Caenorhabditis elegans: one gene and its partners. The protein of the gene in region 1 purifies or fractionates together with the protein of each later gene. This does not show direct contact. Each region holds a gene or a part of one and is shown in the gene's direction. Other genes may lie near its edges. The genes, in order: sdf-9, Y57A10A.5 and C04E7.3.

Evidence for each region.
Region 2: the proteins of sdf-9 (region 1) and Y57A10A.5 fractionate together in Caenorhabditis elegans (co-fractionation; one large-scale study listed by BioGRID). This does not show direct contact.
Region 3: the proteins of sdf-9 (region 1) and C04E7.3 fractionate together in Caenorhabditis elegans (co-fractionation; one large-scale study listed by BioGRID). This does not show direct contact.

The regions. Positions count from the first base shown.
Region 1 is NC_003283.11:20,795,150-20,803,197, forward strand, and holds sdf-9 (Protein sdf-9), read left to right. Parts: upstream 1-3,068; 5' UTR 3,069-3,122; coding exon 3,123-3,158; intron 3,159-3,203; coding exon 3,204-3,294; intron 3,295-3,784; coding exon 3,785-4,126; intron 4,127-4,612; coding exon 4,613-4,708; intron 4,709-4,752; coding exon 4,753-5,210; intron 5,211-5,802; coding exon 5,803-5,817; 3' UTR 5,818-6,058; downstream 6,059-8,048. Other genes in the region: Y44A6D.5 (Branched-chain-amino-acid aminotransferase), read right to left, coding at 6,075-6,150, 6,202-6,609, 6,659-6,762, 6,810-7,082, 7,319-7,510, 7,559-7,655, 7,762-7,793. UniProt on the Caenorhabditis elegans protein: Together with eak-4 and phosphatase eak-6, negatively regulates dauer larva formation downstream of insulin-like receptor daf-2 and in parallel of age-1, pdk-1 and akt-1.
Region 2 is NC_003280.10:12,150,704-12,158,255, forward strand, and holds Y57A10A.5 (SPK domain-containing protein), read left to right. Parts: upstream 1-3,782; 5' UTR 3,783-3,808; coding exon 3,809-3,960; intron 3,961-4,003; coding exon 4,004-4,117; intron 4,118-4,166; coding exon 4,167-4,445; intron 4,446-4,488; coding exon 4,489-4,602; intron 4,603-4,649; coding exon 4,650-4,847; intron 4,848-4,908; coding exon 4,909-5,479; intron 5,480-5,537; coding exon 5,538-5,762; intron 5,763-5,806; coding exon 5,807-5,869; 3' UTR 5,870-6,109; downstream 6,110-7,552. Other genes in the region: Y57A10A.4 (SPK domain-containing protein), read left to right, coding at 1,265-1,416, 1,460-1,573, 1,622-1,903, 1,947-2,060, 2,110-2,298, 2,348-2,449, 2,498-2,740, 2,791-3,444 and 1 more.
Region 3 is NC_003284.9:342,402-350,230, reverse strand, and holds the start of C04E7.3 (uncharacterized protein), read left to right. Parts: upstream 1-3,013; 5' UTR 3,014-3,036; coding exon 3,037-3,094; intron 3,095-3,930; coding exon 3,931-4,349; intron 4,350-4,955; coding exon 4,956-6,065; intron 6,066-7,829.

The DNA.
Region 1 (8,048 bases):
CGAATCCACTTTTCGCGAATTTTACACTTTCGAAAACCCGGGTGCCGATGATTGCGCAGTTGCGCGGGAGCAAAGTGAGGGACCACTCACATCACAGAGTGTGCTCCCGGGGAGCTCCCGGGAGCACGGGAATTTCCGAAACGAGATAGTATTTAGGATGAAGAGTTTTGAGGTTTTAAAGATGAAAAGGAAGGAAGGAAGAATGAGGAATGGAGAAAAGGGGATTAAAAGGATTAAAGGACGATCCGTTCTTCAAGTGCTATGCACTGCGGATCTGGGATTCAGGTACACTGCCTGGTGGTGATCCCTCTGGGCTGTAATTTAAGCCACGTCCTAGCCGGGGACTGTGGCCGATAATCCAGTCGTAGATTGCTCCACTTCCCAATAGAGGCTGGGTGAACCTAGGGGGTGAGGACGGACTTGAACTCGTGACCTCCAGACTGCTAGCGGCCACCACTACCGACTGAGCTATCTGCCCCCGTGAGGGACCACTCACATCACAGAGTGTGCTCCCGGGGAGCTCCCGGGAGCACGGGAATTTCCGAAACGAGATAGTATTTAGGATGAAGAGTTTTGAGGTTTTAAAGATGAAAAGGAAGGAAGGAAGAATGAGGAATGGAGAAAAGGGGCGCACAAGAAAATAAAAACAAGGGCTCCGAGGATTTTTCTACTGCGATAGAAAATAGGAAAATTATGAATTGTGATCTTCGTGCTACTTCTATAAATCTTAGCCTATCATTAACTTAAATAATGTATTTTTTAACTTAAAAATTTATAACGGCCTAGGATACTCATAATGTATGATATAATGCGATATCTCAATTTTCAGCAAAAACACAAGAAATTAAACAGTTTAAAGGAGAATAACAAACACTATGTGTGATGACCAGTGTCTGTGGGTCAATACGAAACGAGTAGAGGACCCTACCAATTTCAGCAACAAACAAAGAGGTGGCTGATTAAAAACCCGTATAGTATAGTTACAACCTCCCCCATCTTTCATTTCCTTACTAAAAAGACATTTATCAAACAACAAAACAACATAATATACAAAACAAAACACTGCCAAATGAGAAAAAACGAACAAGACAGAGAGAGAGAGAGAGAGAGGGGGAGAGACGAGAGTCGGATAGGTGCCACACATGCGGGCGGTTTGCGCATGTGTTTTGTGAAGAAGAAACGGAATTTTCAGGCGTTGTAGGGGAAAATGAAAATTAGTTGGAAAATTGAACTGCCGAGCAGCACCCCCGGCTTATAAACTTATAAACAACTGGTGCGCAGTGGAGGGCACACAGAATTGATTTCATGTTATGTGATGTAGAAAATAAAACGTTGTACGAAAGTAAAATTATTATGTAATAAAAATTGCAAATTCCAAAACAAGAAATTAACTTTAAAAGTCAGTTAATTTCAGGAAATTTATAGCCAAAAGTGGTGTTGCTATTGTCAGCCCTGAGTCAATTGCGCAGAAAAGTCTGCGTTTCGTAATATTTCGTCGATTTCTCTATTGTAAATCAACTTTTTCACACTATCAGAATGTACTACTATAGTGCGCGGGAAAAAGCGTGAACGGCAGTGCATACGTGCATATTTGTAATACATACCAACTCGAATAAAATGACAAACAATTTTCAAAATAATTACTCATATGACTACTAGGGAAAAAAGGATTGAAAACTTTTTACTGAGTTGTTGGTTAGTTTTTTTTTGAAAACTGGGATTTCCCCTAAATAAAACCATTTTATACAAGTCAGAAAAGATTTCAAACTCACACTTTACATTTAAAGGTAGAACAAAATTTCCAATTCTTAGGTCACAACTCGACGGAAAATCCAAATACATGATTTTTCCAACTGAGAACCGAAAACTTTGTTAGTTTTTTGATAATATAAAGTTTAAATGACCTTAAAAACATATTTTCAAAAAAACATTTTGGCAAAAACCGACGAAAATGAAAGAATCTCGCTGAAAAGCGATAATCAGCATTCAATAAAGTTTAAACATCTCGTAAATCTACACAAATCTCGTAAATCGACAAATGGCGTCTCTGGCGCAAAAATTCGGCGTTTGATTAAACACATGGGTGCACAAATGAAATTCGCGATTTCAAGCTGAAATATAACATCGGGGATATTTTTTTGAATTTTTCACTTACAGTTAGATATTCGGAATCAGCGGAAAATTTGGAGTCATTCAAAAATGTTTCTCAGATTTCCTAAATCTCTTATTTTTACGTTCAAATAAACGTATTAAATATAATAAAAAATAACAATTTCGGTACTCCACCTTCAGAAGATCCAATTCCAGTTTTATACACTAAATAGTATTTCAAACTGACTGTAAACAGTAACTAGAGTTTTCTTGACAATAAATAAGTGCCTGTATCTATCTTGCGCGCGTGCGCACTCGTGCTTATAATAGGTCAAATTATGAGCCACCACCCACATAAACAGTTGGGAAAAACGGTGAATGATTTCTGCTAATTAGAAGTGGTGAAACAAGAAAATGAAAGTGCGCAGAATATATTTGTCGGGTGGTTTAGACAAAAGCAGCTCTGAAAATTTCGGAAAAATTTCTAAATGTTAAGTGGCGCGGGAAACAGTTCAACTCATGCAAATAGGTTTAAAACAATAAAAATATCATTGGAGTACTATTCAAAAACCTTTTCAAATTGGTTTATCAGGTCAAAAATTGGCAATCGCCAGTTTTTGTCTTATACTTTTAGAAGTCGAAAAAAAAATTTCACATTGTTATTTTCACAATATTTTGTCAGGTGGGACTACAATTTTAACTGTATCCCTAGTGTTACTCCACCGAAAACAGATTTTTTACAAAATCGTTCCTCTTATAAAAAACATTTACTGTAACAGATGGCAAATACCGTAATTATTTTTCCGATATGTTTTTCAAAATATCGTCGAATTATTTTCCCCAAATGTGATGCTGTCAAGTCTAGGTCAGGGCGGGCCCGAATATTGTTTGTCCCTTAATTTAATAAAAGATTGGCCGGGGACTGTACATATAGTCGTCGATTCCCTAAGACTAGATATATTATTTTCAAAATGAAGGAAATCTCCACAGCTGAAGATATATACAAGCGACTATTTGAGAAGAACTATTTGATGGAAAAATATTCTATCAGAAGCAACATTGTTCACGTGAGTTGAAATTATTGGTGGGTTCGATTGTAAAAAGTTTTACAGAAATTGGACGACAATCAGCCTCTTCTTTCTGAGAGGGTAACTGCACGTTTGGAAGCTGTTAATAGAAATAGAGTCGTAAAAATTGTTCCTCGTAAGTTTTATTTTAAAACTGTTTACATTTATGTTTTAAGATGATCTATGTATTGTGAAATTATTTTTTAAATTATTTTTAAATTAACTGTTTTACCTTTTTAAATTACTCAAAATTGGCCGAGCACAAATATAATGAGAAATGGGTTCCGTCTTCAACTGGGGAAGGGGCGCCAGTTGGGATTTCATCTAAATACACTTATAATGATTCAAAACAACCAAATATCATTTAAAAACCCTTCAAAAATTTTTTGATTTTTTTATAATTTCCGGTCAAAGTTTTGCAAAATTGCCAAATTTTTGAAAATATGAGCTTTCGGGAGATCCAATTTCGCATGTTCCGACCCCTACAATGAATAATTAAACTTTCTCCATGGGCGCTGCTCCACCTTTAAATAATATTACCAATTTGATCGAGTAAAAAATATGTAGTAATGCCCAAATTCACCAAATAATAGATCAGTTGCCCACTTATGTGAAATTTTGTACAGAGCACAGATACAACGTAAGACTGACCCCATCAATGTTAAATCGGGATGGATATATAAATGCATCACTGATGGAATTTTCGGATGTTGGACAGAAATATATTCTCACTGGCATCCCGTCGGAAGATAAAGTATTCGCTTTTTGGCAGATGGTTCTTGAGCAAAGATCTCCGACGATTATACAGTTCGCGGATAACGTTGAAGAAAAACTTGAACATTACGACAAGTACTTCCCAGATAAGGGCGACGTATGGAGTTATGGGCATCTTCAAGTTGAGCGCAAGAGTTATGCAATTCATCAGGGAAACTTTCACACCCGGAATTTTATTCTTAGAAAAGGAAACGGTATGAAACCTTAAAAGGGAAGGAAAGTTTGTGGGTATTTAGCTTAGTCATACTGAAATTGGTCCAAACCATCGAATTTCATAGTGAGGCTTCACAAAAAATTTCCAAAATTGTTTTATGTCGGGTCAAAATTTCGGAAAAAAGAGCCAAATTTTGATAAAACCTGAAATTTTTCTCCACTTTTCTTTGTCAAAAAAATTATCAAAATTGGATGCCTATGGGCTCAAAATATGTCTCAATCAATGAACTTACGCGAGATAAACTACTAAAATATGGATTACAGTGTGATAATATCGGGAAAGTTAAATTCCAGTAGCTGCAACAAAGAAACGTGGGCGATATTTTAGATTTTAGCAAAGTTTGGAAATTTTTTGAGAAGTCTCAGTATGAAATTCGGTAGTTTTGGACCAGTCTATTTAATTAAAATGCCCAAAAACTCTACTGCCTTTTTAAGCACATTGGTAGAACTAATAAACTTATTTTTAGAAACTCACCGAGTTCTGCATTTTACAGTCTTTGGATGGACTGAAACTACAACACCAATAATGCAAGATTTTTTGGCTTTGCGGAAAGTAATGAAAGGTTAGTGAAATTAAATACAAAACTATTTAAATGAGGCGTTTCAGACACGGGGGCGCTCAATATGATCAATCCAGCAAGTGCACTCTTCAGGTCCACAATGCGCCGGTACATTCACACTCCTCCATCTTTTGCTCCAATCATTCAAAGTGCAAGAGGAAGTAGCCGAGCTGGAGCATTTGTTGTCATTGATCTTCTCATACGTATGATTGATGGCAAGAAAACTAATCTGTATTCAGTGGAGGATCTCATCGTGAAGTGCAAACACATGAGAATTCATTGCGTTCCAGTGGCTTTGCACCATTCGTTCATTTATGAAGCTGTTCTAGACTATCTTCTTAGACGAAATCCAAGGTTTCAGGATTTTAAAGAACCTTTAATCGCTTATTCGGAAAGTTGCTTTGTTAAATGGAGCTCAATGGACAAGGAAATTGAAAAGTTTATCAACACGAAAACATGGTTTCTTAATGAGTCTTCAAGAAACAAATTTCTCCGTAGCGTGATGGTAATTGCAAACGTTTAAATGTGGTGTAGTCGAATTTTTTGTTGCTTTATTAGACTCAAAATTGTCTGAAAACACCGAATTTCATGATGAAACTTTCTGAAAACCTCTCAAAAAAAGTTGTGGCAGCTCCTTTATATTAGTTAAAATTTAAAATTTGAGCAACTTGTCAATGTCGCAGCGGCTGGAAACTAAGTTTTTTGAAATCATCGTTTTTTTTGGTGTACAAATTAATTTTCTTAGGTTTTCAACTTCATTTAGATAATTTAAAGTAGATGGATTTGGGTTTAAAAAAAAATTAAAATCTCTTCCTCCATCGACTTTAAAATATTTAAATCGAGTTAAACTGGTATGCTTGAAATTAAACGATGATTTCAAAAAAGATAAGTTTCCAGCCGCTGCGATATTGACAAGTCATGAAATTCTGTGTTTAAAACAATTTTGAGTCTAATTAAACAATAAAAAATTTGACTACACAACCTTTAATGAAAAATAGTCTCATATTTAACTGTTATCAAGATTTTATGCAAAAAAATTTCATGAAACTGCAATTATGGAAAAAATACGATCGCAATAATAAAACATAAATTTACAGCCGCCCGTGGTTTAATTCAAAGCCAAATCATCACCACTTGATTGCAATTAAATTCAAAAAAAAATCTGATCGACATTTATTATTTCTATATTTATAATTTTTATATGTATAATGTACCAATTTTCCCTATCATGTCAGGAGTTTTTTACTCGGTTTTTTATTGTACTCCTTATTTGTACTATCAGCGAATTTTTTTTCCAAATAATATGAATTGCTAACATGAAATTTTGGTCCTGTATAAAATAATTCAATCATGTTTTTCGTTCAAGAGTTTACAGTTCCACAATATGCTGCCATTCCTTTTTCTCGATACGCCCAAAGTGAATGTCAGAAAGCGTCTTGTTGAGTCTGAAAAATAGTTTATCAAAACTGTTGATGTTTTGCAAAAATATTACAAACCTCGTGTGCAACTGCATTTTGCTACTCAATGTGGGAATCTGCAAGTTCTCCATAACGTCCAGTTCTTTATCGCAGTACACAATTTCAGAGACTGGTCCAACGTTGGCAGCAGTACCTGATACAAAGAATTCGTGAACTCGTTTCTCGTGAACTGCGCGTGACAGTTGCGCCATTGTGAAGTTCTTCTCGGAGACTTTCATCAGGTTCATTTCCTGTGCCAACTCTACGATAGACTGTCTAGTTATCCCGGGAAGAAGAAGACCAGAATCTGTAGGTGGAGTTATGAGCTCCAATTCATTGTCTTCATTTGTCCAAAGCATGAACACATTCATCGCGCCGGCTTCAGTGATCAGGCGATTATCTCCAGAAAGCCACATAGCTTGATCACATCCGTGCAACGCAGCCATCCTGAATTAGTGTATGATATTATAATATTAGTAAAGGTCCTTTAACTCACTTTCCAACAAAAATAGTTGGTGCATAGTTGCACCCCATTTTGTATTGTCCGACACCTCCTTTCCACGAGCGTACCATTTCAGGATCTGCCAACAGACGAATACCCTTCAAAATATAGAACGGTGTTGTTTTTTAATTTGGTAGGACAGTACTTTCTCATAATTGAAATAACTACCAGTGATCGATGTAAAACACGCCCATTTGGCTTGTGTACTTTCCGAAACTCCGATATGTTGTTCAGTTGCAAACATCATGGGGCGAATGTACAAGGAGGCTTGATCGGTTTTCGGAACAATGTCTGCATCGATTCGAATGAGTTCATCGATGAGTAGACATGCCTGACGAGCATCAAAATCTGGGAGCGAGGAACGACGAGCAGATCTTCTCATTCGCTCCATATTCAGCTCCGGGCGAAATAGACGGATCTGAAAAACTTATTTTAAAACAATCAAATTTAAGGCTCCCATCAGGTTGCCGCAACGGCGCCCGCGCCAGCCTCACGGCGTCACTGCTTCAAATAACTACTTCATTGCACACACACAGCGACGCGCGGCGCGCGGCGTCGGCGTGAGACCAGCATATCATTATTATTAGGCCGGCGTGAGGCCCGCATTTCGCGAGTCACTCAGCTGGGAGCGCTAATCAAATGTAAACTTTTTACCTTGCCATCGACCCCGTGATATGCTTTCATGCCTTCAAATATCTCAATCGCATAATGAAGAACTTTAGCCGCCGGATGAATGGAGAAATTTTGAAATGGGCAGATCTTTGGAGCAATCCATCCCTCTTTCACATCCCAATCAATATCAATCATATGGTCGGAAAAGTAGCGACCGAATCCAAGTTTTGCTGGCTGAAAATAAACGTTGTTCAAGAAAATAAATCCTCCACTTATGCTTACATCACTAGGAATTCGTTGCTTTTTGGTGCTTTTTTCGACCACCAAATTTGCATATTGGAAGCTGTGAGTACATCTGAGGGATGAAGAGATGAAAGATCTGAAAGTTTTTTGTGAAGAACACATTCAGAAATTGTTGTGAAAATGTTCATATTTCAAACTTCCATTAAAAAATCTGATCGAAATTCAAACTCAAAATTACATACCTTTTCAGAAGACCAGACGATATTTTCTGCATTTTGCTTCAAATTCTCACCAAAAACTCGAGAAAAAACGAGTAAAAATCGATAATAATTAATGATTTCAAATTTGAGTATTCTTTTAAATATTGTTTTCATTGTGTCCGAAAACTACAGGTCACGCGTTTTTCGCAATTTTTAACTGTATGGTACTTGTTAAAAATAAATTTTTGAATGAAAACGTGAAGTTGATGTACTTTTAGGCTTTCGAAATAACCACTTCTAAGCCTAAAGAGGGAAATGGACATCACGTT
Region 2 (7,552 bases), on another chromosome or scaffold:
ATAATACTTTAAGCTTAACTCAAACAATAACTGATAATTGATTTATTAATTAAATAATCTTAATTTTTAATTAATAAAATAATTTTCGTTGAAAGTATCGAAATTATGATTAATAATCCACGTTTCTGTTTCATTCGCGAATATGTCTTCTCTAATTTCTCCTAATATTTATATATTCTAATTTTCAGGTCGATTTCGACTTTCCATCTGCACAATGGTCCTCAAAGAGGCGGAATCGAAAAGATTGATGAAATTTTTAGTCAATCTGACAAAAGGTGCCGTCAAGCCGCTGGTGGCGACGACAGTATTCAGAAAATTCGCTAAGCTCAAAGGTTCAGAGCTTGGTGCAACGGCTTACGCTAATAGGTGAGAAATGTCTGCTGGACTTACGTCTCCAAAATTATTCATTTAGATTTGAAAATAATCTGGTCCCGATCATGGATCAAATGGACAACTACAGTATCGGGTCACGGATTCGAGTGATGTTCGCCTTGTCGGCAACAGTGTCGAATGATTTTTTAGAACTGTAAGGAGAGATTTAACCTTCAGATTTACGAATTTAGTTTTCAGAATCGAAACGACGGGAACTGTTCAAGTGGATGAGTTCGGAAGAATTTCCAAGTATACTTCGAATGAAGGAAAACTTTCGTTGGAAGGAATCTACTGTAAATCTTCCAAAGCAGCACAAAAACGCCCAACGAACGCCAAACTTTCCGCTGATCTCTCGAATCATTGATATTCGTACAGTTCTCGGTGCATTCTTCTTCGGAGTTAGCCGAAAAATCAAATCAACTGGATCGAATAATTCTACAATGAAGGCCAAAGATTTCCTGGTCACGTTCAAGTACTTCCTTCTCGGATTGGATTTTTCCGAGCTTCTGGAGCTCAGCACAGTGTTCAAGAGAAAATTGACGAGTCAGATATTGCAGAGAAGGTTTATCGAAATTGTGAAAAATGCATTTTAATAATAAGATTATTTTCCAGATTCTCATGTACAGCGACATCCGCCATGCTCTCCAAAACCTACTCTCCACAATTTCTCAATAACTCGAAAATTTCTCATTGTTTTTTTTTTGCAAAACTTCCCAATTTGTTATATTTTTCTGTTATTTTTTCGCTCATAATTGTTATTGCCCCATTTTTTGTTCTGCAAGAAAGTTATGAAAAGTTATGAAATTTCAATTCACAAAATACTTTTTACCAAATTTCTCCCAACTTTGAAATATTCTCATATTCAGGTTAATTTCTACATTGGAGCTGCACAATGGCCTTCATCCACACAAGTTTAACAAGGCTGATGAGATTTGCAGTCGATCAGACGAAGGATATTATTGAGCCATTGATGGTAACGAAGGTTCTCACGGAATTCAGTGAAAGTGAAAATGATGGATTATCGCATTACGCTCATTATGCCAAGTGAGCAGATTCTTCCGGCTTCTCTTTAAAACTTTTGGTTTAGATTTCACAATTATTTAGTACCGAATATGGCGAAACTTGCGGAATACAGTATTGAGGAGCGTGTTCGAGTCATTTTTGGATTCGCTGCAGTAGTTTCCGATGATTTTCTGAAGCAGTAAGAACGTGGACTTTTTTGAATTTCTCGAATGATTGAAATTTCCAGAATTCAAAGAGAAGGCCTTGTTCATCTCGATAAGAAAAAACGAATCTGTAAATTTACTTCGCATAATGGAAAGTGGAAGTTGGAAGGAGATCACAGTCACTCGGCGAGAATGAAAAGGCGGTGGTCAATGAGAGTCCGAGTTGTTGTCGGTCTCCCGAGCTTGATGAATTTTCTTGTTGAAAAAACGAAGGACATCATTGAGCCAATGCTGGCGAGTGCAGCGTTCAGAGAATTCAGTGAAAGCGAAGATGGAGGATTACCGGAACATGCCTATTATAATCAGTGAGAATATTATTTCTGCTTCACTTTAAGATGTTTTGTTTAGTTTTCACAAAAATGTGGCACCGAATATGGCTAAAATTGAGGAATACAGTATCGAGGAGCGTGTTCGAGTCATGTTTGCACTCGCAGGAAGGGTGTCTGCTGATTTTCGGGCACAGTATGAACATGTTCTTTTTTTTAATCCGGATTGTAATTTACAAAATCAGAACAAAAGGACTTGTTGAGCTGGATGATGGAAAACGAATTTCCAAGTTTACCTCAACTGATGGAAAGCTGAAGTTGGAAGGAGATCACAGTGATTCGGCGAGAAGGAAAAGAAGCGCGGCATTTTATCGAAAGACTGATCACCATTGTCGTAGTGCGAACGATTCAAAGCCTAGAAGAAAAAACGGAAGGTTCATTGGTCGATATAGAAAGAATTGTAATTAAACATTAGTTTTTCAGACAATCGGACTCGGAATTCTCTGACAAAAGTGGCAGTGATGAAGATGACGTGGAATCTGCAATTTCGTATGGTAATTCTCCGAAAAGAGCAAGATGTGAAAAGTATATCCTGACACGAATATTTACACAATCTATTCATTTAATTTTCAGATCCGCTGATCCTGAAATGCATGTTTCATCCGGAAGTGACGACGATGAGGTGGAGGATGTCGGAGGGATGGACGAAGAGCCGGTGCTTCTGCCGATTGATTCTGATGAATCTCATATCGGCCATTTGCAAAACGGTGAAGAAATGATGGTAGAAGACGACAATCAACCAATTCCTGAGGATCCTCAATACTCAGCCAATTCGAGCCACCAAGGAAGAAGAATGAGCGGACGTATTCAAGAAAAGTGAACTTATTGTGAATTTACTACTAATTTTATTTTATGCTTTTTTTCAGGCTCTCCGCTTCGATTGCTCAAGAGACTACTGATGCTGCAGTCGCAATTCCTCATGTACCGATTTTGAATCCTCCATTCGAAAGTGACGATGAGGAGGTGAAGTATATTGGAGCAGTGAAGGGACAGCCAAAGCCGGGACCGATTGAATCCGTATTTGATCAAATCAATAATCGAGATCATTTCCAAGGAAATCAAGAATACAGAAATCAGTCAATTTCTGAAAGAAAAGTTGATGTCCCACTATTCGTCGAACATCAACAAATCAGTCTTTCCGCGGAAAATCGAGCCACTTCAGCTGAATGGAAATCCATATTTCTGCATGATTTCCTGAAACAGCTGACACAATTCATTTGTTTTTTCGAATGTTCGGAGCTAGCTGAGATCAAGCGAAATATCAAGGAAGTGATGGCTGATGAGGGAAAAATTTCCTCTTTTCAAAAATTAGAAATCATTGATATTCGTACAGTTCTCGGTGCATTCTTCTTCGGAGTTAGCCGAAAAATCAAATCAACTGGATCGAATAATTCTACAATGAAGGCCAAAGATTTCCTGGTCACGTTCAAGTACTTCCTTCTCGGATTGGATTTTTCCGAGCTTCTGGAGCTCAGCACAGTGTTCAAGAGAAAATTGACGAGTCAGATATTGCAGAGAAGGTTTATCGAATTTGTGAAAAATGCATTTTAAGAATATAATTATTTTCCAGGTTCTCATGTACAGCGACATCCGCCAAGCTCTCCAAAACCTACTCTCCACAATTTCTAAATAACTCGAATAGTTCTCATTGTTTTTTACTGCAAAATTTCTCCATTTTCTACGTTTTTCTGTTATTGTCTCGTTCATAATTGTTATTTATTCTCTCCCTTTTTTGTTCAAGTTATGAAAGAATTTTCGTTTAAAGTCTCAAAATGCTTATTGATTATCTGTGTGTATTTTTCACTCACGAATACTTTTTGGCAAAATTCTCCCAACTTTGAAATATTCTCATATTCAGGTTAATTTCTACATTGGAGCTGCACAATGGCCTTCATCCACACAAGTTTAACAAGGCTGATGAGATTTGCAGTCGATCAGACGAAGGATATTATTGAGCCATTGGTGGTAGCGAAGGTTCTCACAGAATTCAGTGAAAGTGAAAATGATGGATTATCGTGTAACGTCTATTATAATCGGTGAGCACATTCTTCCTGCTTTTCTTTAAGATTTTTCGTTCAGATTTCACGAATATCTGGCGCCGATTATGGCAAAACTTGAGGAATATAGGATCGAGGAGCGAGTTCTAGTCATGTTTGGATTCGCTGCAGAAGTTTCCAATGATTTTCGGACACAGTATGGACTTGCACTTTTTTTTTTGAAAATTCCGATATTTGCTTTACAGAATCAGAACAATAGGAGATGTTGAGTTGGATGACGGAAAACGAATTTGCAAATTTACATCGTATGATGGAAAGTTGAAATTGCAAGGAGATCACAATATTTCTGCAAGACCTAAAAAGCAGTGGCCAATTAGAGTCACTCCTGCCGAACTTACTGGATTTATGAATTATCTCGTTGAAAAGACAAAGGATACCATTGAGCCTGTGGTTGCAACAAAATTATTCAGAGAATTTAGTGAGCTTGAAGGAGAAGGACGAACGGACGGAGTCTATTATAAACGGTGAGAAGAGCATTCCTTCTTCTTTTTAAGACTTTTGATTTAGATTTTACAATCAACTAGCACCGAATATGGCAAAACTTGTGGATTACAGTATTGAGGAACGTCTTCGCGTCATGTTTGGATTCGCTGCGGAAGTTTTCGATGATTTTCTGGCACAGTATGATCAAGCGCTCTTTTTTGAAAATTCCCAACTTTAATTTCCAGAATCAGAACACTGGGAGATGTTGAGCTCGATGAAGGAAAACGAATTTCCAAGTTTACCTCAACTGATGGAAAGCTGAATTTGGAAGGAGATCACAGTCATGCGGCGAGAATGAAGAGAAAATGGGCAGCATATCGAAATGCTTATCGCGGTCGTCGTAGTGCGAAAGATTCAAGGGATACTAGAAGAAAAAGCGGAAGGTTCTTTGTTTGATTTAGAAATAATTGCTATTTAAACATTTATTAAACATTTGGTTTTCAGGAAGTCGGATTCGGAATCCTCTGACAAAAGTGACAGTGACGAGTATTCCACATCTCCGAAAAGAGCACGAGCATCTGAAAGTGACGATGATGAGTATATTGGAGCAGTGAACGAAGATCCAGAACATAGACACTTTGATGATTTCCATATCGATCATTCGCAAAACTATGAAGAAACAATGGTAGATGACGACAATCAACCAATTCCTGAGGATCCTCCATACGAAAGTGACGAGGTGGAAGGCCAGCCAAAACCTGAACCGATTGATTTCGAATTTGATCAAACCAATAATAGAGATGTATCACACAGTTTGAATATTAATAATTTGCGAGAAAATGGAGAAGTCAGCAACAATCCGTCAATTTCTGAAATAAAAGTTGATTTTCCATTCTTCGAACGTCAGCAATTCAGTGTACCCACGAATAATGGAGCCACTTCAGCTGAATCAAGAGCTATTTATATGCATGATTTCCTGAAAGAAGTGATCGAATTCATTTGCTTTCTCGAAAGGACAGAGCTCATTGAGATCAAGAAACAAATCAAAAAATCGATTGGAACGGATGATGATAAGGTAAATAGACATTTCTCATTAAAGAACGAAATTTTGAATATCGATTTTCGATTTTCAGAACCTGCAAATCACTGATATTCGTAAAATGCTGGAGTCATTCTTCTTCGGGATCAGCAGAAAAATCAGATCAGTTTCTTCCTATAACTCGACTTCTTCTGATATGTTGGCGAAGGATTTCCTGCTTAAATTCAAGTTATTTCTTCTCGGATTGGACAATTCAGAGCTTATAGAGCTTCAGCGGAAGGTTCAAGCCGAAATGGATGAGCCGAAATTGGCACAGAAGGTTTTTCGAATCCGTTTAATAAATATGGTTAAAAATGTTTGCAGATTCTTCTGGACAGCGACGTTCGTCAATCTCTCCAAAACCTGCTCTTCAACATTTCTCACTGAACTTTTTTATTTTCTTTTTGTTATATCTGTCCATTTTCTCCCTTTGTTCCATTGTTCTGTTGTTTTTTCGTTGATAATTGTAATTTCCACAATTTCCTGTAGAAAAATATCGTTGATTTGCAATTTTATTTGCTCTTGAAATTTCCCTGTGTTGCATTGTTCTGATACGTTTTTGTTAGTAATTTATTTATTTTTTTTATCGGTTTTTTGTTCTTTTTTTTTCGAAGAAATTTTTTGTTTAAAGTATCGAAATACTAATTAATTAATAATTCACGTGTTGATTTCATTCACGAATACTTCCTTTCTAATTTCTCCCAATATTTAAATATTCTCATATTCAGGTTAATTTCTACTTTGGAGCTGCACAATGGCCCTCATCCACACAAGTTTAACAAGGCTGATGAGATTTGCAGTCGATCAGACGAAGGATATTATTGAGCCATTGGTGGTAGCGAAGGTTCTCACGGAATTCAGTGAAAGTGAAAATGATGGATTATCGCATTACGCTCATTATGCCAAGTGAGCAGATTCTTCCGGCTTCTCTTTAAAACTTTTGGTTTAGATTTCACAATTATTTAGTACCGAATATGGCGAAACTTGCGGAATACAGTATTGAGGAGCGTGTTCGAGTCATTTTTGGATTCGCTGCAGTAGTTTCCGATGATTTTCTGAAGCAGTAAGAACGTGGACTTTTTTGAATTTCTCGAATGATTGAAATTTCCAGAATTCAAAGAGAAGGCCTTGTTCAGCTCGATGAGAAAAATCGAATTTGCAAATTTACTTCTCATGATAAAAGTGGAAGTTGGAAGGAGATCACAGTCCCTCGGCGAGGATCAAAAGGCAGTGGTCAATGAGAGTCCCGAGCTTGATGAATTTGATGAATTTTCTTGTTGAAAAAACGAAGGACATCATTGAGCCAATGCTGGCGAGTGCAGCGTTCAGAGAATTCAGTGAAAGCGAAGATGGAGGATTACCGGAACATGCCTATTATAATCAGTGAGAATATTATTTCTGCTTCACTTTAAGATGTTTTGTTTAGTTTTCACAAAAATGTGGCACCGAGTATGGCTAAACTGGAGAACTACAGCATCGAAGAACGTGTTCGTGTCATGTTTGGATTTGCTGGCGAAGTCACCGATGATTTTCTGAAAGAGTATGAACTTGTTCTTTTTTGAAAATTCGAATATTTGCTTTACAGAATCAGAACAATAGGAGATGTTAAGCTGGATGAGATGAACCGAATTTCCAAGTTTACCTCAACTGATGGAAAGCTGAATTTGGAAGGAGATATTAGTCATTCGGCGAGAAGGAAAAGAAGCGCGGCATTTTATCGAAAGATAGACCACCAATGTAGTAGTACGAATGATTCGAAGTCTACAAGAAATAGCGGAAGGTTCATTGTTCGATATAGGAAGAATGGTTATTAAACGTTGGTTTTTCAGAAAGTCCGACTCGAAATCCTCTGACAAAAGTGGCAGTGACGAGGATGGCGTGGAATCTCCGAAAAAAGCGAGAAGTGAAAAGTATATCCTGACACGAATATTCACACAGTCTATTCATTTAATTTTCAGATCTGCTGATCCTGCAATGCATGCTTCATCCGGAAGTGACGACGATGAGGTGGAGGATGTCGGAGCGGTGGACGAAGAGCCGGTGCTTCTGCCGATTGATGTCGAACGTGAT
Region 3 (7,829 bases), on another chromosome or scaffold:
CATTAATAATGAATTAAAAACATCTCACGTTTCAGAAAATATTTTAGCCAATATTTTCCTTCGAGAACACATGCATTAAATACCAAAAAGTAGGACAACTCCAAATTGATTTTTTGAAATTATTACAGGAATGTTTTTGGAAAAACTCCCCTTCACCTTTCCGGCTTATAACGTCAATATAACTGTTGTTCAATAAGATAAAACATTTAAATTCAATAATACAAAGATAACCTGTCAATTTGTTTGATTTTGAAAATATAGATATAGAAGATTTTATTTCAACTGGAGGAAGTACGATAATTTTGAGTTCTGAAAAAGAAACAATTTTTTTAATCTTTGCTCATTTTAAACTAATTTACCCTTAATAATTTATTATTTATTTCGAAAAGTAAGTGAATACAATCAAGTGCAAATCAGAAATCATAAACACATATTCAGCTTGTTTTCGAACTGAAAACTATAACTTTGTTCAACACTTAAAGGTGGACTACGCTCTGTGAAGAAATTGCTTAAAATTCCCATGGGGTCACAATGACCGAATATCATGATTGAAAAATTCCAAAAAATTTTCTAGATTTTATATGATTTTTTAAAAATTCGAAAAATCTCAGTTTTCACCTAATTTGTCGCGAAGTTTTTCTCGGAAAATTTGAATTTCCCGCCAAAAAGTTTTCTCAGAAAGTTTGAATTTCCCGCCACAATATTTTCTCTGAAAATTTAAATTTCCCGCCAAAATTTTTTCTCAGAAAGTTTGAATTTCCCGCCCAAATGTTTCTTCTCAGAAAATTTGAATGTCCCGCCAAAGTTTTGGGTCTCACCACGATGGGTCTCATCTAGATGGGTTTCGCCACGACGGGTCTCGACACAATGGGTCTCACCACGATGGGTCTCACCACGATGGGCCTGACCACGAAGGGAGACGGACCCCGCCAACAGTTCTTAGTATAGTTGGGTGTGAGGTCACAAAAACAAACAAACAAACGGTACGGACAGGAAAAATAAGCTGTATTTTTTTAAAAATATATAAGTAATGATTTCATTTATTCTCATTATTCCACTGTTTTTCTTCATTTTTTGTGTTTTTTAAATGGAAATTGAATCGAAAAAAAAACAAGATAAATGCAGAATGTGTGCTAAAAAGTCATTGAAAGTGCATAAAACTGTGAAATATACTAATTTCATGCTTGTTGTCGTCGAAACTTATAATTTTACTGTTTTACGCATTTTCAATTACCTTTTCACAAGCATTCTGCAGTTATCTTGTTTTTTTTCGTTTCAATTTTCATTTAAAAAAATATAAACAAAATGAAGAAAATCAGTGGAATAATGATAATAAATAAAACTAATGAATAAACAATGCAAGCGCGGTCCTTCGAATGAATCAATTGGCGGAAATATAAATAGGAACTAGGTGAAAACTGAGATTTCTCAAATTTTCAAAAATCATATAAAATCTAGATTTTTTTTCGAATTTATTTATCATCATATTCGGTCATTGTGACCCCATAGGCATGTTTTAAAGTAATTTTCCCACAGCGTGTAGTCCACCTTTAACGGGTTACAGGGTGGTCCATAATTATGGGAGCGTTGTTGTGCTCACAAAATCTCTATTTATGCTTGCTCTACAACTTGAAAGACACGGATTTGATATACATATTTTTAATAGCTGAAATATTTTCATATTAGCTGACGTAAAACACTTGTTGGTTCGTTAAGTAACGAAAGCCTGACAGCGCCGTCAAAGAAGCAAATGCTCTTACAGAAATGCTTTTTTTTAATATAGAAATATTTTGCAAATCAAACGGTCAATTTTTCAGTGGTTCACGTGCTCGCTCTTCGTGTTTAATGGCAATCGATATGACACTGAAAGAGAGTGCAGTAAGCAAAGAAACGCAAGAAAACGTGTTGAAAGGCTGGAGACGCAGCCGGTGAAGCGACTTGATGTGTCCTCTCTATCCGGCAAATTTATGGTCTCGCCGCCTTGGTCTTTTCCTTTTCTACTGTTTTCTATGCTTTCTTCATTCCGTTAGTCAAATGATGTTCAAAATCTTTTGATTGCAAGCACATCTTTAAAAATTTAATTTTTCTGCAAACATCGATTTGTGTAATATTTTTTGAAAATTTTGTTTGGTACTTGTGTAGTATAACTAGTCAACAATTTTTTTTTCAACACGTTTTTTATCAATTTTCTTTCAAAATGATAATTTAATTAAAAAGTGAAATCGATTTGCATTTTTAGGCTTAAAACAACACTAATCCTAATCCAATGTGTGCATTTTGGAAAACATTTTTTTCGGTCGACTTCCAAGTTTTGAGTGGCGAAAGCTGAGTAATTCTTACATTCTGACAGTAAATAATAAATTTCCAAAAAAATTGATAAAAAATGTTATGTGGGCATTTTGGCCCAACTAGAGTAGTCAAAAAACTTTTCCCACTGGCGCTACTCTACCTTTAAATTCACAAAAACCTAATGGAGTCATTCAAGTAATGTTGCAAAATGTACATATTTAAACCCATTAATGGCGTCACAACTGTATTAAAATACATGCTTTTTAAGTAGTCTCGGCATTCAGAGGCAACTTCCTGCCACACTTTGGCAACTTATTTAGTGCCACTAAAATAAGTTGCCGAATTGCTGGCAGGAAGTTGCCGAGTTGTTGGCAGGAAGTGGGAAAGAACGCTCAGCAACATCTAAATGTTGGCAGGAATGTGCAAAAGTTTGGCGGGAAGTTGCAAGTAAGCAAAGTTTGGCAGAAAGTTGCCTCTGAATGCCGAGGAGCGTTCTTTCCCACTTGCTGCCACTACGTGGCAACTTCCTGCCAACAACTCGGCAACTTCCTGCCAGCAATTCGGCAAATTATTTTAGTGGCACTAAATAAGTTGCCAAAGTGTGGCAGGAAGTTGCCTCTGAATGCCGAGGTATTCTTTCTTGACTCAATCTTTTTCAATGTTTGTTATTCTACTGCAAGAGATCTTTTAATTGCTTTTCTGCGTTATATATTATAACATATTTTTTTTAGATATTCGTAAGTCGAAATGAATGTAAACGACCCACCTGATATACGGGCTATTCCAAACTTTACAGCACAAACTGGTAGGTATTTTTTTGTTGGAAAATTCTGGTCTTAAAATTAAACAGGGTAACAAAACATTTAGGGTCACACCAGGGCTAGGACCAAAAAAAAAAACCAAAAACCAAAAATTTGGAATTTTCGGAAAACCCAAAAAACCAACCCAAAAAAAAACCAAAAAATTTTTGATGCTTAAGTTCATTTTTAATGGCGTTATTCAAGTAATGTTGCAAAATGTATTAAAATACATTTATGACGTCACAACTGTGTTAAAATACATGTTTCAATGTATTTTAATACAGAATAGTCTCGAGTCGAGACTAGACACGGTAAACATTTGTTTTTTGGATTTTTTGGTTTTTTTGGTCCCAAAAAACCGAGAAAACTAAAAAATCGATTTTTCGTCAAAATACCAAAAAAACCAAAAAACAAAAAACAAAAAAACCAAAAAATTCCCAGCCCTGGGTCACACGTCATGAGTTTTTTGTTGCATTTCATTTTTTTTAGATAAACTTTAGAAAATTGCAAAATTCAAGCCTTTCTAATTGAACATGCTCATTTATTTGAACAATATTTGAGATTTTTGATCATAACTTGAGTTTTGCTCATACAGTTTTCAGAGCAAACATTACCATCACAAATTTTTGGCATCCTAGCCCGGAAACAATTTTCTGGAGCTTCCTTTAAAGTTCTTGTGCTGATTTTGCTTAGTTTAAAATAAAATGCAAACTCACAGAAAAGTTGAAAAAATCAGTTCACAGTTTTTTTTGCGGTCGACGAAAATCTTTATGAAATTAATAGGCGAACATTCCTAGTTTTTGAATGCAAAATAACAAACTTTCATACAAAATATCTGCAGATACTCCCATAATGTCATCGCATGATTTTACGCATCCAGTGCGCTATACAAATAAGAACCAACCTGGAAGAAATTCACTGTCAAGACATGAATCGGGAGACAGCTCAAGAAGTACGCAAGGACATGCATCGTTGCCTCGCAACACAGTAGGACCGCCTGATCCCAATGCTCTGTCCCCGGAGGGGCTGGTTTCAAGGCCGCTGAATACAGGAGTTGGGCCCAATCAACAAGTTCAGGAACAATATAATGCTTTTTCGAATCAAAATGAAAATGATAGAAAAATGATGGAAGATCCGAGAGAAAGTGCGGTTCCGAATAAACGAGCCGCTGCAGCTCCACCTTGGATTGGTTATACCCAAACCTATCAAGGTCAACAAAAGTATCGCAATCCTCAAAAACTTCAACAAAGTACAATCAAGGTTAGAAATTTAGTATTCTGTGTAGCTTATTTCATGTTCATCTTACAATTAGTCTTTTAAATTCAACGACGAAAGCATAGGTAAGTGAACTAGGCAACAAGGAACAAGTTGATCAAAAAACAACTTTTTGGGGGAATACATATCATATTGACAAGTCAGTCTAATTTCAAATTTTAACTAATTTTAGGCCATTTTTGAGCCTTCATAACTTTTTGAGAAGTTTTCAAAAAGTTTCATTATGAAATTCGGTGTTTTCAGAAAATTTTGAGTCTAATAAAGCAATAAAAAAATTCAACTACACCACCTTTAACAGTAAAACAATACAAACAATAAAAAAATTGTGGACGCGTGAAAAAACAATTTCCAAAAAAAAATTTCTATGAAATATACTTTCTAGCAACTAGTGAAATGCTCTTATCTTCTATTATCTATTTTTTGGTGTTTAGCGTATTGTATGTTTTTGACTTTTTTTCTGTGTTCTTATCAATACGAAAGTCGTATAATTAGGGCAAAAATCCGAGGGTTTCCGGTATGCAGCGCAGTAGCAGGCGCCTGAAGATTTCATGTTTTGCCTACCTGTAAAAAAGTCATACGCCAAATTTTCAGAAGCGACCAAAACCGGAAACAACTTCCGGACCAAAAAAAGCTTCGAAGCCGACGTCTTTGTCAGAACCTAAAAAAACAGAATGCTCCATCTCAGAGGATGAGTTGTTATCAGCAAGTTTAGCTGAACGTGTCCAAGCAGAAGTCTCCGAAAATGAGCAAATCGAGAATCTCACTGAATGGGCGCAAGCCTACAAACAGAAACAAGAAAAATCAAGTGAAACAAAAAGAAGGTCCCGTAAAACTGCACATCGTGAAGAAGAGCAGAAGTCAAAAATACTGACTGTTCCTATAGGATCATTAAGTGAAGATCAAGCAGTGAAACAATTGAAAGAATTGACCAAGGAGAGGCGAAGGGACGATGCGTTAGTGGCAGAACCCTCAGCAAAGAAAAAATGGCAACAAAAAGAAGTGGAATCAAAGAAAAACGAGGGGACATCTTTTGAAAAGGTCTCAGATCAAGTGCGACTAAGAACAATGATTGAGGATCTGGTATTGCAAAACGAAAATCTTCAACCAGTGGAGTGGAGTGGATCTGAAATGGCGTTGAAAAGAGACAACGACCGATACCAGAGACGAAGCCAACTGAAAACTGCAAATAATCGGGAGCTGGCCAAAAAAATGATGAGCATGGAAAGAAATGAAGTTGATTTTTTGAGAAATGCAAGATATAGTAAACACGGAAATTTGAAAGTCTGGAATCAATTCAAATCACTTGTTAAAGCTAATAAATTATTAGAAGAGGAAATCATCAACCAAAAGTGTCAAGAACTTCACGAAATAAAATTTAAAACCGCGGCAAAGCCCAGCTTGGCAATTGAAAAGTCAACACCAACATATCTTGAAAATATGCTAATTGTGGACGATCAGGAGAAAGTCAAAAATATCGATATTTCTTATCTTTCGAAAGTTAATCCATCTCACCATTATCAATGGGGAGAAGCAAAGTGGAAAAAGATTGAGCCCCTGCTGGCAGAGTTGAAAGAAACAGAAAATGAAGTGAACTGCTATTACGAGAATACAATGGGGCATGATGTTCCCCAAACTTCATTAAAGACAGTGGATAAGATTCTGTGGCATTTTGAACATAAGTATGATGCTATAACTTGCACGGTAAGATTTTGTAAAAATAAATGTTCTGAGGAAATTTGAATTCCCGCCAAAATTTTATGAAGAAATTTGAATTCCCGCCGAAATTTTTCTGAAGCAATTTGAGTTCCCGCTAAAATGGGTCACACCACAATGGGTCTCACCACGTTGGGACGTCACTGAAACAAACGGACACTATTTTTTTTTACGTGTCTATGATTTGATGAGAACTGCGGAGACGCCTGCGTCTCTTTTCTCCAACGCCCCCTCGCCATTGACATTTTGAGATAGCATGCGAGAAAAAGTGACGCAAATGCTTTTTGCGCGTAAAATATGGCGACATTTACTCATTATTCCATGGGCAGGAAATATATATACAAGTAATGACTCAAAATTGTCTGAAAACACGAAATTTCATAATGAAGCTTCTTGATAACTTCTCAAAAAAATGTTATCGCGGTTCAAACAATTACCTAAAATAAGTTAACATTTGAAATTTGATCAACTTGTCAGTGTCGCCGCGGCTGGAAACTAACTTTTTTGAAATCCCCGTCGGATTCTTGGTGCCGAAGTTGATTATTTTGCGTTTTCAACTCGACTTACAAGACTTACAAGTCGACTTAAAAGTTAGATATTTTAAATTCGATGGATGAAGAGATGGTAAAACATTTAAAAAAATCTCTTTGTCTATCGGCTTTAAAAAATCTAAATCGAGTTGAAAACGTGAAATAATCAACATACGTACCCAAAATTAGACTGTGATTTCAAAAAAAAAAACTAGTTTCCAGCCGCTGTTACATTGACAAAGCGACCATATTTCAACTTTTAACTAACTGTAGGTCATTCTTTGATCCGCCATAATTTAAAAAAAATATAAAGTTCCATTATAAAATTCGATGTTTTCAGGCAACTTTAAGCCTAATGAAGCAATAAAAAATTTGCTTACACCACCTTTACATTTTCATTATGAAGATGGAAAGTCGTCAGTGGGGATCAGAGGTGGGCGGCTAACAGGCGAATTAGTCGAAATATCCGTTCGGCTAATTCGGCTAACACAATGGAGCACAATTGCATTGTTTGCAAACAAATTTTTATTGTTTAATTGCTTTCAGTGTTTTTTTGTTTCTGTTACCAATTGAATTGTTGTTACTTACTTGATTACCCACAAAATTAGTGAAAAACTTGCTGAATCAACAAAAAACCTGAAACTGATAAAGTTAACGGAATTAACCAAATTTCAGCCGACCGGTTAAAGGTGGAGTAGCGCCAGTGGGAAAATTGCTTTAAAACATGCCTGGTACCACAATGACCGAATATCATAGTACAAAAAATTAAAAAAATTTCCTAAATTTTATATGATTTTTTGAAAGTTGAAAAAATCTCGAATTGCATCAAATTCCCATTTGAACTACCGCCAATACATTCGATGTTCGATGGAGCGCGCTTGTCATTTTCAGTTTTTGTTCATTAATTTTTCACATTGTTGACAGATTTTTCATGTTTTTTTTTGCGTTATTTTACTGAAAATTCAGGTGAAAAATTCAAGATGAATGCAAATTGTTCATTAAAAAGAGGAGATGAAGGCGTAAAATCGTTCAATCGATTATTTCAGGCTCAAAGTCGTTGGAAAACGTTCTTTCTCTGTTTTTCACTTGTTTTTAGTGAACAATTTGCATTTATCTTGAATTTTTCACTGAATGTTCAGTAAAATTACGCAAAAAAAACATGAAAAATCAGTCAAAAATGTGAAAAATTGATGAAATAAAATTAAAAAATGACAAGCGCGCT